2 linked regions of the Stegostoma tigrinum genome follow. The protein of the gene in region 1 binds, or shares a complex with, the protein of each later gene. Links are inferred from orthologs where the notes say so. Each region holds a gene or a part of one and is shown on either strand. Other genes may lie near its edges.

Region 1 (3,751 bases):
GAAAAAGAATGGGGATCTGAACATCTGAAAACATGTTGGCAAGATTATAACAGACGATAACGAAAAGGTCTTTTTTAATGGGTACGGTACTTTGTGAAAATGATACAAGGAAGGAAGAGGACAAAATACTAACATTGTAAGGGTTTCTATAAACTAAATAAAGGGGAGAAACTTCATCAATTGAATGTAAGTAAACAAAATGGTAATGGAGAAACTTAGACTAAACATAAAGTAAATGTCCACTCCAGCATATAAGAAGTAGCAGTGAGGAACTTGCACATGTATTAGCCATCATTTTACTATAATACTTAGATTCAGAAAATGTGCTTTTGAAATGGAAAATTACAAATGCCACTCCTTATTCAAGAAGAGATTGTAGTAAACTTGGCATTTTCAAGATTTAAGACTGAGATTGAACAAGGAGATTACAATGAACATTTTTTTGAAAATACTCAGTCTGCTTCAAATGGAGCATTATTTCAAAGTCTGGTTATTACACTTTAGGAAGGATGTGAAGGCTTTGGAGTGGGTGTAGAAAGGATTGACATGAATAATTTCAGGGAAGACAAACTTCAGTTAGACAGCTTGGAGAAGCTGGAACTGATCATTTTAAAGACAGAGGGATTTGGTAGAGGCATTTAAAATCGTAAGCGCTTACTTAGAGTAGATACAGAGAAACAGTTCCATTGGAAGAAAATCAGATTATGCCAATTTAAGGTGATTGGCAGAAGAAATGCACAACCCAAGAGTTTACAGCCTTTCAAAATATTGCAGGGCTAAGGGGAATAGCAGGAAATGGAAAAAACAGTTACTATGCAGAAAAACATACTGGAAGTGGAACAAAGGCAGGTAAATAGACCTAAGATATAGACCAATGATGATATAACTGAGTACTGAAATAAGTTTGGGAGATTGAACCAGGAATTATATTACTGAATTAGGCTCCTTACTTTAATTTCGACCTGGTGTCGTTCCTCTGCATCCTCCATTTCTCGATCTTTGTTTCTTAACTCCGACTTCCTCTCCTCCAGTTGCCTCTTAGTGATCTCCCAAAATGTGTGAATTTTGTCTCGTTCAAGTTGAAAGTAATTCCGTTCTTCTCGTTCTCTGTCAAGTTCTTCACGCAGCCGAACAATGTGTTCCTCCAACTGTGTATGGTCAATAAAGAATAATTAATTTTTCAAATGAAACCCCTGAAACATGGAAAACTTTATAAATACAGAATCCTATCACACAGCAAGTTACTTAGCTCGTCCTAAAAGAGCTATTCAATTATTGCTGTTTTCTCACACGCCTCCAATTCTATTTTTCCTCTGGTTCTTTGCTTGATTACATAAAATTCAAAGGTCAGTCACATCCTTGGACTAGCTCAAACAACCAACTTTTGGAACATATTGATCAATCTGCCACAGACATCATTTGTACATAGTCTTCACTTTCACAAAACAGATGTACTTGCCTGCTCCTTGGACATTGCCTCTGTAGAAAGGCCATCGATCACCGTTGGCGTTTTTGCTTTCTTGCCTCCTTTCCCTTTCTTCTTTTTGGGTGGCTGTTTAATGGAAAACCTTAGTTAATATGACATTCCTTTTGCAATACACAATGAAATGTAATGAAGCCTCTTAGTAAGGTTGGTAATGTTAACACTAAAACCAAGAATACACTTTGCCATGACCATACTGTTACGGGGCTGAGCAGTTTTTGCTTCTTTTCATACTTTTAACAAAAGATTGGTTTGACTTGCTGCTTGGCCTGCTGTGTTCATCCAGCTCTACACTTTGTTATCTCGGATTCTCCAGCATCTGCAGTTCCTATTATCGCTGATATTGGTTTGTCTTATACTGCCACTGATAATTTTGCAGTGTAATCAAAAATCTGTACATTTTTGATTAAATGGAAATAGTTCTTCCTGAGCAGGGGTATCTTGCTATGAACCTGTCCAGGAATCCTTCAAGCGCAGCAAGAGAAGATCATCAAAACCCATTCTGAAGTTTAAATGTCCAGCTGACATTTAGAAGGCTATTGTGAAAGGCTAAGTATGTGATTAGAATATCACATAAATGGGTGAGTGTGTAGGGCAGTCCAGATGGGTCAGGACAGGCAATGGTGTGGTGGGCTTGGATCGCTGGGTTTTGGGTCTGACGGGCCATGTTGGACATGGACGTTTTATGTCTGGGTGAGTGCTGGCTCCAGTGGCATAGGGTGATGGAGGTGATAAGAGGGGAAATGGAAAGAAAGGCAGGTAGGAGGCAGGTGGATAAAGTGTGGGGAGGTGGCAGGAGGGTAAGGCGATTTGGGAGGGAAAGAAGGAGTAGACGAGGGGGATTTGGGAGGGAAAGGAGGAGTAGACGAGGGGGATTTGGGAGGGACAGGAGGAGTAGACGAGGGGGATTTGGGAGGGACAGGAGGAGTAGACGAGGGGGATTTGGGAGGGACAGGAGGAGTAGACGAGGGGGATTTGGGAGGGAAAGGAGGAGTAGACGAGGGGGATTTGGGAGGGAAAGGAGGAGTAGACGAGGGGCATTTGAGAGGGACAGGAGGAGTAGACGAGGGGCATTTGAGAGGGACAGGAGGAGTAGACGAGGGGGATTTGGGAGGGACAGGAGGAGTAGACGAGGGGGATTTGGGAGGGAAAGGAGGAGTAAACGAGGGGCATTTGGGAGGGATATGAGGCGGGTTTGGGGGGAGGGAAAGGTGCGAATCTGTCCGCATAAGCCTATGTGGTTCTTGTTTGAACGTTTCTGCTCCATAACGACACTCACCATCTTGACGATGCCGCTGCTCTGAGCAGTTATTCCTGAACCGTCTATTTACCACCAGCACCATGGAAACGGCAACCAAATGCCGCGAGACTCGATGTGCGCTCGGCGGGGCTGGACCGGTTGTCTTGGGGGAGGGGGGGAGCCGATGGGCCAGATGGGCGGGGCATGACGCTAGCGGGGGGCGTGTCCCGAGGGAGGGGCGGAGCTCGGCCTGGGGGAGGCGGGGCTGGTCCCGGGGTGGGTGGGTCTGGAAGTCGAATTCGGGAGATGGAATCCAGTGGAAAAGGCTAGTGCAAACTGTGGATCTCAATTTGGGAAGAGGTTTGGGAGCCTTCATTATTACGGGAAAATAATCTCCTGAAGGCTAGAACAAATATCCAGAACTTTTATCGCATTAAATGTCATGTAGGGATATTTGCAAAAAGAATAACTGCAGAATTAGTAATTTATAATCATGCTACTAATAACTGATTGGATTATATGGGTTCCTGTAATAGTTACTGATATAGAGCTCTAAAGTTTAAAGGTAGATTGTGTCTCAGATTTGTAATACTTCCAGTTCTTTTTTATTTTATGGTGATATTTTAAATGAAACATAGTTTCTTGTGATCATTGGCCAGCATATATTGATAAATAAAATATGATGTGGAGGTGCCAGTGTTGGACTGGGATGGGCAAAGTCAAGAGTCACACGACGCCAGGTTATATTTGAAATGACAAGTTTTTGGAGTGCTGTTCTTTTGTCAAGTGAAGTCCTGACATATAAATAAAGTGAAGGAAGGTGATAGTAAAGGGTGACACAATGGTAAGCAGTACCAGGGGCCAGGGTTCGATTTCACCCTCCGGTGACTGTGTGGAGTTTGCACATTCTCCCCATGTCTGCGTGGGTTTCCTCTGGGTGTTCCGGTTTCCTCCCATAGTCCAAAGATGTGCAAGTTAGGTGGATTGGCTGTGCTAAATTGTCTGTCGTATGCAGGGATGTGTAGATT
Region 2 (3,751 bases), on another chromosome or scaffold:
AAAATACAATTGGCCTCAATATCCTTCAGGATTCTGAAATCCCTTTGCCCCAAGGATAGCTAATGATTGATAGCAATTGGTTTTATATAGGTAAAAGTATAGGGTTTGCAAATAAGCACTGGAAGATCAAAGTCAGAGTTGTAATCTGATTTTATTACTAAATAAAAGAGAGAGCTGTCCTCTCTAGCCCGTTAAATTACAAAGCCTAACAACACAAACGACGCTGAAACAGCTGCAAAGTAACAGAAACTGCAGTAGTCTCATTCTTATTATTTAATTCAGCACTGAAGAAAGTAACATTCTGGAAAACTAAGTCATGATCTGGAACGCATTGCAAAGCAGAGGAAACAGATTTAATTATGGCTTTCAGACTTGAAGGGCCAGATTTTGCAAGGCTTTCAAAGAGCCAGCACAAGCAAGATGGGCCAAAAGGTCCAAATGGACCTTCTTTTCAATAATCTAATTCAATGGCAAAGAATGGTTAACTTTGTTGAGGTATTCATCTTCTTTCAACATTAGCTCTGTCGAAAGCTGATGGTGCTCAAAGGGTAACCAGTCCACCGCAGATGCTACCTGAACTGTCAAGTGCAACCAGAAAGACGTTTTTAATTTGCTGTTTGACAACTAAGCCAGTCGGTTGCCGGGGCGCTAAAGCAGATTCCGGTGAGTTTTCGCCCTCTTTGAGGTGATCAACACGCGGAGCAGAATCTCCGACAACTTGATCTGAATAAACGGACAAATAAAAAAAGACGCAGATCGTGGCGCTAACAGCCACCAGGGGTCAAGAAAGTTGCATACCCGAAAGCTCTGACATGGAAAAGTATAACCGATCATATTGCCTACTTTCGTTGGGGATTTCCTCTCTGTCTGGGTCGGCACTGATCCCCGTGCTGTCGTCTGTCAAGATTAAAGGGACATCATCGTCGACAGGCAGCGTCACCGCCATCGTCCGGTATACCCCCACACCCCAAACTGTCGCCGCCGCCGAAGAACGACGCTGGGAGTGTGCGGGAGGCGGGAAGGACGAGCGAGCAGAGGGCGGGACCCTGATCCACACCTTGTCGGTGATTGGTCCAGGCCGACGGTCGGTCCGGCGGGCTCACTCGAGAGGAAACGTCAATCAAAAGCGCGGCGTCCAACAGGTTCGCGTGAAACCCGCCTCCTCCCACGTGGACGGCGCGGCCAGCGAGTCAGAGGGAAAAGGTCGTCCGTCTCTTAGCAACGGAGTAACCGTCGCTGGCAAACAGAAGGGCGGAGATAGGTGAGTGCGTCCGTTCGCGGCAGAGGAACCCTTTAACCCGAAAGCACCGGGGTCGGCGGTGGCGGGGGGGATCCCGTTAAAACGAGCTGACGAACGGTCTCTGTGCCTCAGGACGAGGTTGAATATTCTCAGGCAGAATATTTGAGAAATCAGAAAGTATCCGGAGCTCACTGCCCGACAGGTTTCTAGAGTCAGGAATCCTTAATACTTACTGGCCAAGTGATGGAAAATGGAATCCGAATAGATGGATGTTTGATGACTGACGCGGATAAGATGGACCGAAGAGCCCTTTTTGCGCTGTTAAAATCTCTATCACTACGATTCCTGTTAGGCAAGGGATCCAAATGTAATCCGAGTAAAAGGAACTGTAGAATTCAAAACATAAACAAATCAGATCATTATAGAACAGCGATAGGTTTGAAGGGCCCAATGGCTCCGAATTGGTATGTTTTTGAGCTGTTGTGAATTCCTGGAGAAGATTAGTAGCCACCCACAGTTTTCGTCCATCCTGTTAGAGAGCTAGGCCTTATGGTCTCGGGAATCAGTAAACTCCAAGGTATCCTCTTGATCCTTGGATCCTTATTGTCCCTTCAGTCTGTCATCTGAGGCAGCCCATATCAACGTAACACCAGGGCATTAATTATGACTTATCAAGTTGACTGCACTAGGTCTGAGAGACTTCTGACTCAGTTCCAGGTAGCCATCCACAGCATATATTCTTTTTTATAGTTAGTGATTGTAAAGTAACTTTTAAATTAATTCGTGAAATATGGACATCACTGGCTGGACCAGTATTTATTGCCTCTCTCTTGTTGATTTCAGGAAGGTGGTGGTGAACTGCTTTCTTGAACTGCTGCAACCCATGTGCTACAGCTAGAAAATTGAACATAATATATTGTTTTGATCTGAAAATCAACACTAAATACCTCGCTCAAGTATTAAAAACCCTTATCCTCCTGATTTTTTGATCATTTTTCAAATAGCAACTGTGATCATAATTCTTTGTGGAAATCAACTTATGGGTGTTTAATGTACTTCAGTGGGAGAATGTTTCTGTGAAATTAAGCATTTATGAAAAAAATATAATTTACATTTATATATGATAGTACATTTGACAAAGATATAAATAAACCTGCACATTACTGACAAGTGTCAACTTTACAAACTAAGTGGCAGCCTTATCACCCTAAACTCAGCAAATGAGGAGGTTAGTGCTTAGCTTTGGAATGTGTTTTTCAGGAAAGCAATCAGACAGATTTGACACTGAGCCACACAAGGAGATGCTGGGACAAATGGTATTAAGGATCTAATTAAAAGGAGGAAAGAGACAGGCAAGGAGGGAGGAAAGTCATGGCTAAAGGCAAAAGCACCATTTGTTGAGCGATGAATATCATGCCTGTGCAAGAGACCAGAACTATAGGAGTACAGAAATATTAAAGGGTTGTAAGGCTAAAGAATGCAATGCAGTAGTGATGGGATTGAACACAAGAATGAGAATTTTCACTTAAATAAAGGCAAAATTGCTGGGAATCTGAAGCAAATACAGAGAATGTCACATTTGCTGCCAGACGTGCTGAGTTTCTCCAGCATTCTCTGTGTTTGTTGTTGAACGAGACTTCAAATTGAAGCATTTCTGGTCCAGGAACCAATGTGCATGTGTGAGCACAGGAATGATACATGAACAGGACTTCGTGCAAGTTAGGACAAGGATGTTTTGAATGAACTCAAGTTTATGGAGGGTGTAAAGAGGAAAAACTGTTTAAACAAAAATCAGAAGTGTGTTACTATATATTCTAAACTATTTTAATAATGTGAACTGATATGATTTATTACAGTTCACTTTATTATAAACTACCTCTGTTTTTGAAGTATACTAATGTATCACTCCTACATATTAATATAAAATCTTAATAAATGCTATCAATATATGTTATCCACATCAACCTCATGCAGTGCATCCTCTGATTTTTTTTAACATAATTTTATAAAATTTATAGATCAAGTCTCTTCTGCCAATGTTGCAATTTAAATGCGGTATATTGGTAATACTCGTCTCAAAGTCAGAAATTGTGGGTTCAAGTCCCACTTGAGATTTAAGCATGTAATCTAAAATTGCCATCTAATATAGTACTGCATTGCATTGCCAAAGGTACTGTCTTTCATATACATTGCTGAACTGAGGTCTATCTACTCAGTCATGTTAACAAAGGAAAAACCCATGGCATTGATATGAAGAAGAACTGGGGTGGTTTAACTACCTAATGTTTACCACTTAACCAACATTGCTAATTTAAAATCCTGTTTATTGTTTATATTAATGATTAACCATAGAAGCATTTGAGGCACTAGGAGGGTCCAATAACTGAACTGACCCCAATTTAACTTTGGCATTTGGACCTCAGACAGTGGTCTTTCCCACTGTGCCTTGGCAACAGCTGCCCCAAACTTTAGTGCATCCCTCACTACATAGTCCCAGACCTTGAAATGTGC

The links. The genes of interacting proteins can lie anywhere in the genome.
Region 2: gas8 (region 1) and iqcd share a complex: the UniProt entries of both Homo sapiens proteins name them as parts of the nexin-dynein regulatory complex. The link is inferred for Stegostoma tigrinum from reciprocal best matches to the Homo sapiens genes DRC4 and DRC10.

The regions. Positions count from the first base shown.
Region 1 is NC_081369.1:39,930,654-39,934,404, reverse strand, and holds the start of gas8 (dynein regulatory complex subunit 4), read right to left. Parts: upstream 2,887-3,751; 5' UTR 2,766-2,886; coding exon 2,763-2,765; intron 1,553-2,762; coding exon 1,460-1,552; intron 1,149-1,459; coding exon 951-1,148; intron 1-950. UniProt on the Homo sapiens protein: Component of the nexin-dynein regulatory complex (N-DRC), a key regulator of ciliary/flagellar motility which maintains the alignment and integrity of the distal axoneme and regulates microtubule sliding in motile axonemes.
Region 2 is NC_081379.1:29,976,114-29,979,864, reverse strand, and holds the start of iqcd (dynein regulatory complex protein 10), read left to right. Parts: upstream 1-1,179; 5' UTR 1,180-1,261; intron 1,262-3,751. Other genes in the region: tpcn1 (two pore channel protein 1), read right to left, coding at 844-946. UniProt on the Homo sapiens protein: Component of the nexin-dynein regulatory complex (N-DRC), a key regulator of ciliary/flagellar motility which maintains the alignment and integrity of the distal axoneme and regulates microtubule sliding in motile axonemes.